Linked DNA regions of Schizosaccharomyces pombe. The main gene of each other region encodes a partner of the protein of the gene in region 2 in a complex. Each region holds a gene or a part of one and is shown on either strand. Other genes may lie near its edges.

Region 1 (3,756 bases), 1.6 Mb from region 2:
TTTGGACTTTTTCTGTGCGTAATTACTACTGTTTCTGCTACAATACTTCTAGCATGGAACGTGCCAGATGGCGCAAAATTCTTTGCTTATTTCGCTTCTGGTTGTACATATGCTGGACAAGCAGTTTGGTTTTCTTGGGCAAATGACATTTGCCGGGATAATGATCAGGAAAGAGGAGTTGTTGTGTTTTTGATGAATATGTGTCAGAATATCTGGCATATTTGGTGGGCACCTATAATGTATCCCAATACTGATACGCCTCGATTTATAAAAGGATTAATTGGTTTGCTGGTGGTAGGAGGAATAGTCTTTGTTAGCTCTTGTATTGTTAGTTACATGCAAATCCGCGATAAAAGAATTAAACGATCCATCCAGGATGCAAAAGATTTCGATGATGTATTCACTGAGCATGAAAGTTTAGAGTTAAAAAAAATAGGCAAAAATGATGAGGAATCACTCAACACAACTAATGCGGTCAAAGAAATTAGTTCTCCAGGGCTTGTGATAACGCGACAGCGAATTTCCATGCCAAAAGAAACGAATGCCCAAGATTAGTACTAGAAGATTAATGACATAGTATAAATATTCCTTATGCCTTTAAGTACACATTTAGAGTAAATTTGCTGTTCATATTGATATCAACCTAACATAAAAATTTACCACAGTTGGCTCATCTAATTGACCAAGCCCTTTGACGCAAACGCAAACGAATACCTTTGCACACATACTCAAAAAGAATCTGCTAACAAACGATTTAAGGTGCAGCTGAAGTTAAAAATTTATAACCATTAAATAGAAATACCAACTATACGTATAGTTTGGATGGTATCCGGCAATGATCAACAAGTTATTGAGTATACATCAGTCCTAAAGGAATTTAGCGATGGTGTAGACTTAATGGAGCTAAAAGAAAATTTTTTATATATTAGGACTAGAGAAAAAATTGAAGCTAAATTAATCTGGGCAGGAGAGTGGGAATGGAAGCCCGTGAACGAAACAAATGAAAATAACTTGGAAAGAGGGAGACAATACCCTAGCGCCAATTCCGCACTAATGGAAAATTCTCCAGAATTTGCTAAATGGTTTCATGGACAATTGTTTAATCGGCTTTGCGTTCTAGGCTCCACATCTTCGTCGAGAAAAGACATGCTTTGAACAGTGTTGGCTATTTTAAGCAAATTTTAGATTAATTCGAACTCAAGCAAAAACTCAACTACAAAAAGAAGAAAGAATGTCTCAAAAGAATATAATATTCCATATACTTATTATTTACGTTTGCGTCGCTCACCTCCATTCTTTTTAACCATAACTGGATATGGCTTAACTATAAACCCTTCTTTAAATCGGTTTCTTTGGCTTGCAATGTATTTCCTTGTACGTACATCAATACCTTCCTTTTTCATAGTTTTTGTACTTTTCCTAAATAGACCATCCCAAGACTCGAATTTTCCGTTCACTTTTTCTGCAGTATCTCTTCCAATTCTTTTAAAGAAATCATTTGTATTAGAAATCCCTGAATCTTGTTAGGAATTTAAATTGCACTAATGTTTTGAAATCTCATACCTGATCTTGGACTAGGAACAGTAGAGGCATACCGGCAGTTAGAAAAAGGAAATATAAAATTTCTTATAATGAAAATCCTCTTCAAGATCAACATATTTACCAGTATTGTTTTAAAAATATTTGGTTGTTTAAATAAGTTGTGTACAGTTTCTGGAACGTATGCGAAAGTCTCACAAACGTACTAGCGACTCATAGTGCGACCATGTCAAGCTTAGTGCCTGCAATTATTAGCTATATAAATCCTTGCTTTTAATTCTTTTATGAGATTTACTGCATGCAAACTTTCAAGTCCCTTGAATATCTCAAACTTCTACTTCCGAAAAGTCATTACGTGTCTATTAACTAATCAATACAGTGAATCTACAAATTCCTAATTGCGGTTTTTGTATAGCAGGAACTCGTATTTTGAACATATAAATTACCAGTTATATTTTCGGGTGAATTTTTTGAAGACTCTACTATGTGTATTTAAAGCCCACTTACTTTAATTGTAAAAACATTAATTTAACTAATTATAGTGAATGTCTGACTCTAAGCTATTTATCAACGCATTCCAACCACCCACGAGTTTGTTAAGTATACAACAAAAGCACAATTTCTAATCACAGTATTGGAGATGTTTTTTAAAAATGAATGTCGATAATAATAAAGGCAATATTCCAGAGCTCCTTTGGAATGGCACTATTTCTGTGCGCATTGATTATGAAGGTAATTCTCTGGCCTATCTAGTATGTGATTTGTTCACTCAAGTAGTAATTTAATATTCTTTAACTCAATTTATTTTTTCCTTTTTGCTCACCATATTCTACCTAAGGCTAACGTCCCGCGACAATCATATTTTGCTCAAATACTCCCAAATGTTCAACGTCTGTTGGCACCTTCAATCCCTTTATCAGAATGTTGGTTGGATTATAATGGGGTTCCTCTTAAATGGTATCGTTTACCCAAAGTAACTTTCCGTAAATTAATCATAATATAGGCATTGGCCTGTTGGCTTACTTTTCGATTTGTTAACAGTGTTTGATCCGGATACTCCTCGAGCGCCGGTGCTATGGCGCATTCAATTGCGCTCAGGTCTATTTCCTACAACCAAAATACTTCAAATGGAAACCATGGATACTTTTCGAACATATTTTTTCAACTGCTTAAAAGAGGTGCGTTCTCTATCACAAAAACATATATGATTTATTTACAAAAGGGGTAAATCCATATTAACTTTTTACAGTCTGATTACGTTCGTAACGGAAGTTCGTCTGGAATAATCGCTCTTTCAAAGGCAGAAACAGACACCTACTGGAATGCAATACTCAATCATGATTACTATGATTTCCGTCCCATTGCTATAAAAATACTTTTTTCAAAATCCAAATTCATTCCTTTAAAAATTTATTTAGGGGCCAATGCTCCTATTATACAAACTTCTGCACCTCTTGGTAGTTCTCTTGGTGAGTTTCTCAATAAACGCCTTCCCGACTTGTTTCCATCATGTGATAAATTCTTAATAGTTAAACCAGTTATTCATGGTATTACAATTTTTCTTCAGAGCGTTTTAGACGAGCTCAATCGAGATTTCTGTTACATTGATGGGTTTTTACATATTGTTTTAATGAAAGTTTAAAACATTTACGTCTCTTCTCTAGCTCCTTTAGATAATTTGTTATTCATGTACAAATAATTTTAAGATTTGTATACCCATGCAGTCTAGCAATGACTTTACAATGACATTAAGGTGCGTTTGAGTACTCCTTTCCCTAAACAAACTGCTTTTTAAGAAGTAGGAAATGCAACGAGATATAGCATTGATAATTTGACTATGAAAATTTCTTTTTAATGAGAAGTCGTAGATTATGAAGACCCATTGGCAGCAACACCAGATGTTACTGTCTCAACAACACCCTGAAGACGGTAATATTTCTCATATGGAGATTCACCAGACTTGATTTTTGCTTCATTCACAGAAATACCAGGGTGACCGTTAGTGCTTAAAAGCCTAGTACTAACCTGTTTCAAATCTTGTCCTTCATCGAGCTTTTTCCAGTGGGATTCCCGTACACTAAAAGGCCCAAAGACATCTCGATCAATTAATAAGTATTCCTGTAAAACTGAAGGATCGTTGGATTGGTGGCAAAGATATTCCATGTATAGCTTTGTAAGATCCATTATCGTCCTTGGCGGTAACCTTGTTTTATTTCT
Region 2 (3,756 bases):
AATGATTTTTGGTCCAGAGATTGGCATGTTTGTACCAAGCCCTATTTCAGAGTGATTGCTTGGGATCCAACTATTGCCCTCACTGGAAGTAAGTTTCTGGCAAGTTGTTCATGTTTTTTCCTTTCAGCATTATTCCATGACTTTGCCTATTGGTCAATTTCTGGACGCTGTTCACCTGCTTTCTTTTTTCAGCTTTTAATTCAACCTTTCCTTATTAATCTTGAAAAAAGGATTCCCCTCTTGCGCAAATATCATTATTGGGTCCTAATAATCGAAATGCTTATTAATGGAACATATGGTATGGGAGTCGTATTATTAAAATTTAAGTGGAAAACATGCTCGCAAATTTAATTTACTGTTTAATGTCTATGTTTGACCTTCCGAAACCTCTAAAGTATCAGATAATTGCTATGTGTCCTAGTTTATACATTTAATGGATGGTTCAACTAAATTAACTTTTCCGTAGATATTGTTGGAATGTTAAATAATATATAGAGGGAAACATTACATTTAGCATTCTAATTCTCATTCTTTGCCAACAGTAATTACAAAACTTTATTTATTTATAAGATTTGTTAATAGTATGGGTTTTTTCAATCAGATAAAGTGAACCCATAGTAAGCCACCATGATCACTTGCATACAAAACGTAGCCGGGAGAGGAGGGGAGAGAAGTAGAAAAAGATTGAAAATTGTGCAGGATTCAGTCGGGTTAGCTAAAGGGATTCAATGCGCGTAGCTTGGAATCTATTGTTGACGACCGTCCAATTGATCATATCCCACCATTTTGTAATGTACATTTTTTTACCATTTAAACCATAGTCGTCAAGATACGCATATTGCCAAAGGTTAACGCATAAAAGCGGTACAATTGCATTGGTACGAAACTTAGGAAATCCTGTTCCCCAAAGAAAGGCATTTGACGCATTGTACGTGCATAATAAGGAAAATAAAGATTTTTCTGGACTATATACCAACCACAGCCAACCATCACCAAAAACTGAATTGCCAACGTCAACCATTTGAGACTTCAACTCACCAAATGAACCGAAGGATGCATCAATTCCAGGCTTTAGGTTGATAGCTCCTAAATCTGCATCTGCAGAGGGCCGTTCTGGAGAAATAAGGCCGGAAAAGAAAAAATCATGATTTACCAATTGGCTAGAGTAATTGAATAAATTAGCGCGGGCTGGGTCACTAGCGCTTTGAACCATTAAATCTGAAGGCACACGATACGGAGTTTGATGAATTTTACATTCTTTTTGTACTAGGCCTCGTAAGTGGTTGTCATAAGCAAAGATATTCCTGACCGCATCTTTTGACAAAAAATTCTTGTAGCCCACGTCCAACGCTCTGGCGAAGCGCTGTTGAAAACTCATTTGTTAAATTGAGGTAATAGTTAGGGAATGGGTATAAAAAACTGCAATGGAAATCAAGTATGCGGGTTTAAATTTTGTAATCCTAAGAAATTGGCAAAGACGACCAAACTGTATAATTAATTCATTAAGTATTAACAAAATATGAAAATCAAATAGTGTAGATGCTACGTTTTTGAATGTTTGAAATATTTCAACTTCAATATTGGTAAAGGCGTTCCACTCAGACCGCTCAGAGAGAGGTAAGCAGCCCTACTGGCGCAAGTAAAATATCGGTATGAAAGTTCTGCATTCCTTGTTGCGATATATACCATTATACCACTATATAAATTTTTGAAGTTGAATTAACAGAAATCTAAAACTTCGTTGAAACTTAACTAGTATTACAATGAATTTGTTAACAAGTTTCCCAAAAAAAATTGTGAAAGTAATCTTAAAGCGTTCAACGGGTTTAAACGGTGGATTATAAAAGCCTTTATTCCCAATATGACCATGATTCAATTTAAAAGTAAGCTGTATGACTCATTTTCAATCAAATTTACTTCGTCTTTTATAAGAAGATTCATTGACTTGAGAAGAAGAAAAATAACTTTAATATTCGAATGATCACAACTTTTATGTGAAAGAACTGTAAATATGTTAAACGTTTATAAATGACAATTGTGGCCGTTTGGTCTAGTGGTATGATACCATCTTAGGGTGATGGTGGTCGTGGGTTCGATTCCCACAACAGCCCGATTTTTTTTTTTGTCTCAGTAATTCAAGAGACCCTCAAATTTTTTATGTAACCGTTTAGATTGCAGCCTAATTGTTCAAAAGCTTACTCAAATTTGATCTAAACATTCGTGATTAATCGTTTATGAAACCATACGCTAACGATTAATTAGGAATTGATACAGGTTCATAACACCGTTCATGGATTGGAAACATCTACCATTTATTTTTAGTTTTAGTTAACTAAAATTGTAAGTGCACTGCATTTTTTTCGAAGCTTCATTTCTTTCATCGTTCAAAAAGCTGCTTTGGCAATAAAAAAAAGTTTAAGGTTATTTTTAGCCGAGGCTACTGGGATTGTTTCATATGCTTACAAGCGAAATAGGGAATAACTAGCTGCATACAAATGTTTTTGAAGAATACCTACCATTGGGGCTGAGCTAGAAGAAATATGGGATTTGAGACAAAAAGATTACTACTATATTAAGGAAGAACTGCTGAAACTTAGACGGAATAACCCAAGTATGCATACATGCTGCCAAGCCCGGTCTTGTTGCAATTTCAGGCTCTACACAACAGTAACAAGTGATTTATGGATTACGGATACTTTTTTTAAATTTAATATTATCTGGTTATAGTTAAAATAGAAGATTGTTTCACTATCCACTAGTTTTGGATTACATGCCATTAGTGATCAGGGCTATAAGCGAATAATTTTCAACGTTTCATCTGACCCTGGTACAATTTTTTCAGTAAGTCACATATTTATTTATTTTTATCCAAAATAAGAGCTAGATGCGTATTTTTTACAGGCCATGCCACAGTCTTTTTTAATTGCTAATGTATTAGACTGTGTCAATGGTACGAGACATTACTAACGAGTAAAGGTAATTTCTTCTATAGGATAGATTAAATATACCACCTAGAATTAGCGATGATTTTTACACAAACTCAGCATGTCTGTTTTGTAATTACCAATCCGTTTAATTTATTTGATGTGCGCTCAAAAGATATATAACAATAATCAAGGACAAGAAGCATGAATAATTGATGACATACTAACATACATTTTAAATAAATTTTTGTAATACAACTAACCGTAATACATCGGTTTTAGTAACCATTTTTGCAATTGAGAGTATATGTTCCTTCAGTTTAGCTAAGGTCTATTTATAACATTTCTTCTCAATGATGTCGTAAGTATTAATTGGTATTGATTGTTTTCGGGCGGTCGAAATGGTTTGGGAAGCGTGCAAGACAAGTGAAGAATAGTAACATCTGGCTAGTGAGAAATAGCTGAGAACGAATGTACAATTCCTTTGATATATAGCTTCTGCTTGTCATACAATTACCGGTGATGGATACGTTGTCTTTCCTTATCCATCTCTTTTATAAATAAGGATTCACTTGCAAGTGTTATGTCGAATAACGCAACACGGAGAAGCCTTTTAAATCCTTAGAAACCTTTTCTTGCATTGACCAATAATGTACGCTGAGAGGAAGGTGGTAACCCCTTTTATTGGCTACGTGTAACTTTAGCGAGTCAAGATATTGGCTTCTACAGAATCGCTTTAGTTCAATACGTCCAATTATCAACAGTTATAGTATCAAATTTAGCATTAGTAAACGAATGATTGGGTCGGTAAATACTTTCACTGTTTTATCGT
Region 3 (3,756 bases), 360 kb from region 2:
ATTTCCGAAACTCAGAAAATCGTTGCATACTCCCATCTATATTCCTTTACTTCTGTCAAATGCTTTGTACATTGGGCTCAAATTACGCGTCGCAAAGTATTACAAATGTACGATGACAGTCCAGGATTTAAGCCAAGTTACTATACAAATCTTAACCGAATTGCTCGCTATCCGATTGAAAATATACGTCTACCTATTACTTTAGTTTATGGCAGTAACGATAACATGGTGGACATTGAAACACTCAAGACCCAACTTCCACCATTATCTCAATGCATTCAGGTATGTTCTGAAACAGTTGTAGCTTCATTTACTTAAGTGGAAACTAACAAGTTAAAATTAAAGATTCCTAACTATGAGCATCTCGACATCATCATGGGAGATACGAAAAAGGACATAGTAATTCAGCAAGTCGTAGAACAACTAAATCATGTCATTGCTGGAGATTACTTTGAAAGCATAAAAGAAGAATTTGGACTTGACACAGAATTGGTTGACGGCGTTATGAACCATACAATATAGTGTTCATCGCTTCTGAAACTGGCACAATGTATATTTAATATGTTAGATAAGTTTCTGTTCTAAATCAAACTGAAGCACAGTGTTGTATAGACTGTTTCATCGTATGTGCAACCCTTCTTATCAGTATTTGTATTAAACGGCTAAAAAAAGTTTCTTTGTTTAATTTGAAAAAGTCAATATGGCAACGAAAGCAAAAAAAACTATGCAATTTTTATATGTACAAATAACTTTTAGATAATGCAACAACTAGAAGAATTTGCTGAGTGAATTTGTAACAATTCAAGATTTTATTTCGCAAAAGTTTGAAATGGATTGTACTGCCGCTAATGCATGCTAAGGGGGTAAATTTTCTTTCAAAAACGGGAAATAAATGCTTGATTTTCAGGTAGTAGATTTTTTTCTCTTAACATAAATATCCCCGCCGGTATCCCTTCTATACACATTACCAGTAGAAAGATCAATGAGCCTAAAAACACGCTTCCCAACTTCGCTGGGGCTTGAAGAAATTAGCTCTTCATCTTCATTCAAATCTTTGTGCTCATCAGATGTTTTGTGGAAGTGAGTAGCGTTTTGTCTCATGTTTAATTCCTCAATCGAAGGCCACTTCAGGATTTTAGCAGCCTCTTGAGGTGTAAACGTTTCTCCCTCAGGCAAACTCTTCCAAAGGGATACTGGATTGGAACGCAAAGGAATATCGTTTCCGTCATTAAACTGCATCATCTCAGGTTTAGTACATGCGTTCAGCATTTTCTCCATAACTTCATTATAACTATGAAGAATCGGCTTCTTTTTTTCTTCGAATTCATCATTTATTCTTCTCAACTTTATAAGAGCTTCAATCCTTTGTGGAGATGTGTTGAATTTTCGAGCAAGCACTTCTATACTTGCACCCTGCAAGTATTCATCGGTAATTTTCATACGCAAAGAATGAGATATAGGCCTAGGAGGCTTAAAAAAAGGGTTTAAAGGGAAGGGCTGATTTGTATTAGGTCCCAAGCCTACATTACCAGATGATGAGGACTTTGCTTTCTGTACTTCGGGAGACATTAACCATTGAGCCATCATTAAACGTTGTTTATGACGAAGTGTATTCTTAGAAACTGAAGAAGCAACATCATTTGGGGGTGTTACAGATCTTGAGTTGCAAGCAACGTACTTTGAATCAATGTTCTTTTGAGTGTGTTTATTTAAATCAATATTTCCCCCATTGCTTAAAAATGCTCCAGTACTAAAGAATTGTTTCTTGACTGCTGAGGTATAAGTTTTATTTTGAGATAAATTAAAAGCCGTTTTAAGCCCTAACTGTGAGAATTCCACTGAATTCCTCATTTAGGTGCGTTGGAAAGGTTTCTTGTGTCACTCCCCAAAAGTTAGTAACACGCCCTAATTCTATTCATCAAGATAGATATAGAAAATAAACTTCAAAAAACCAATAATTAATGAGACGATTTAGGAAAACTCAAATTTAACCTCCGGCGGTCAAGCAATCTAGCTCCATTATAAGATCCGATTAACATACAGACGCTTGATTTATTTATGAGACAATAACTCTCAGTATGCAATAAAGTAAGATTTTGTTTATTCTATAGAATGTTTGAGAGTCAGTTCCAATATTAGGATACGAACAGTTATACACATCAATACTTAAAAAATAAATACACAATTTAAGTCATAATTTCTACAGAATCAAACGAAAAAAATTCATTAAATACGGTCATTGCTTCTTTAGACAAGAGTTTCGCATGTCCTTGATATTTTTGTTTGGCAATTGACACATCAACAAATAATAAAGCGGATGGATGGCATTAAATTGATTAGGAAATTCCAAATTGAAAATTAAAGTAGAGGAAAGTTTTAGAATACATGTTATACAAACAAAACGATTTGTGTATCATATTTGTCAGAAAGTTCATAACCAACAATCTCAGCTTAATACCTAAGTTTATTATATTCGGCAAAAAAGGGGAAATAGGTTTAAGGAAACATTTATAAACTTACCTCAAATTATTTAGAGAGTAACCAAAAACCCAAAAAGCAATCAACTAATGAAGAGTGCATGGGCTTAACAATTATTCTAAAAACTTTAACTGAGATGTTTATTTCAAATGTTGAAAGGGAGACAATTCAAAAAGATTTTTAAAGTTAAACGACAATAGGCATATAATTGACCCTACTAAGGCAAAATCCAAAGTGCCTTTCAAAGACCATTTTGTATTTGACCGACTAAATCGTAACCCACTTCCTTTCAGTCTATTATCATAATGTACATTATTGCGAATATGTGTTTTAGAGAAAGCATTTTATGAAGTCATTATTTGGTATCCGAGGAACACTTCAGTAGTAGTTCCTTGCCATCCTCGATTTCCACTAGCTGAAAACATGAATTGACAAGAAGTGTCTACATAAAGCGAACTGACAAGACCTCCATGATGACCTGGAATAATTAAGAACCCTATGCCGGCCTTGCTTTGAAGATCATAAAGGCGGATATTATCAAAGGAGGAAATTACAAGGTGACGGCCATTCGGCATCGAATAGACATTTGAAACAGGACCCGAATCGAGAGGCATTTTTAAAGAGCGAACAGGCTCCTTGCCAGAGTGAATGTTATATTCTTCGACGATTCCATTTCGGCGGCCAATATATATATTATTTCCATCCGGACTCCAACATGCAGACATAGCCCATGGTGGTACACCCTTGGGGACGGGGTATTTGAGAACAGAATCGACCATGCGATGGTCCCATACATTCATAACTCCATCTATAGACGTCGTTAAGAAAATATTGGACTCTTCGGATGAAGATTCGGAAGGAGCTTTTATGTTGTCATTGTTAGTAGTAGATTCGGTTTGAGAGGGTTTTTCTGTCTCGTTCTCCTCATTTGCTTGAACAGATTTAGTTTCTTCTTCAATGGCTTTTTCCACCTCTTCATCAAACAGTGCATCGTAAGAAGAGGAAGACGCAGGTGTACCGAACAAACTACGCATGTCGTCCGATTCAGAACCCCAAGGATTTACAGCGCCTGATGGACGATAAACTATATTCGAAATTTGACCACTCTCACAATTGTATGTAGATATTGCATCACCAGTGTTAAGGTCCCAGTAATAAACCATTTTGTCCCAGCTTCCACTCAATACTTTTTTCTCGGAACCATGTAATGCTAAACACGAAACAGGAGCCGTATGCTTTTTTAAAGAAGTAACGGGATAACCCTCTTGATGTCTTGTA

Evidence for each region.
Region 1: SPOM_SPBC3H7.04 (region 2) and fyv4 share a complex: the UniProt entries of both Schizosaccharomyces pombe proteins name them as parts of the mitochondrial small ribosomal subunit.
Region 3: SPOM_SPBC3H7.04 (region 2) and bot1 share a complex: the UniProt entries of both Schizosaccharomyces pombe proteins name them as parts of the mitochondrial small ribosomal subunit.

The regions. Positions count from the first base shown.
Region 1 is NC_003423.3:3,431,627-3,435,382, reverse strand, and holds the start of fyv4 (mitochondrial 37S ribosomal protein mS41 ), read right to left. Parts: upstream 1,716-3,756; 5' UTR 1,658-1,715; coding exon 1,564-1,657; exon of another isoform or gene 1,514-1,563; coding exon 1,266-1,513; 3' UTR 1,156-1,265; coding exon of another isoform or gene 823-1,155; 3' UTR 556-822; coding exon of another isoform or gene 1-555. Other genes in the region: plasma membrane pantothenate transmembrane transporter Liz1, read left to right, coding at 1-555; SPOM_SPBC4B4.12C (uncharacterized protein), read left to right, coding at 823-1,155; autophagy-associated protein Atg5, read left to right, coding at 2,193-2,291, 2,378-2,496, 2,543-2,717, 2,789-3,181; U1 snRNP-associated protein Prp39, read right to left, coding at 3,409-3,756. UniProt on the Schizosaccharomyces pombe protein: Component of the mitochondrial ribosome (mitoribosome), a dedicated translation machinery responsible for the synthesis of mitochondrial genome-encoded proteins, including at least some of the essential transmembrane subunits of the mitochondrial respiratory chain.
Region 2 is NC_003423.3:1,875,182-1,878,937, forward strand, and holds SPOM_SPBC3H7.04 (mitochondrial 37S ribosomal protein mS42), read right to left. Parts: upstream 1,601-3,756; 5' UTR 1,379-1,600; coding exon 716-1,378; 3' UTR 473-715; downstream 1-472. Other genes in the region: SPOM_SPBC3H7.05C (uncharacterized protein), read left to right, coding at 1-351. UniProt on the Schizosaccharomyces pombe protein: Component of the mitochondrial ribosome (mitoribosome), a dedicated translation machinery responsible for the synthesis of mitochondrial genome-encoded proteins, including at least some of the essential transmembrane subunits of the mitochondrial respiratory chain.
Region 3 is NC_003423.3:2,231,261-2,235,016, forward strand, and holds bot1 (mitochondrial ribosomal protein subunit S45), read right to left. Parts: upstream 1,863-3,756; 5' UTR 1,852-1,862; coding exon 904-1,851; 3' UTR 523-903; coding exon of another isoform or gene 346-522; 3' UTR 283-345; downstream 1-282. Other genes in the region: SPOM_SPBC14C8.15 (triglyceride lipase-cholesterol esterase), read left to right, coding at 1-282, 346-522; SAGA complex subunit Spt8, read right to left, coding at 2,823-3,756. UniProt on the Schizosaccharomyces pombe protein: Component of the mitochondrial ribosome (mitoribosome), a dedicated translation machinery responsible for the synthesis of mitochondrial genome-encoded proteins, including at least some of the essential transmembrane subunits of the mitochondrial respiratory chain.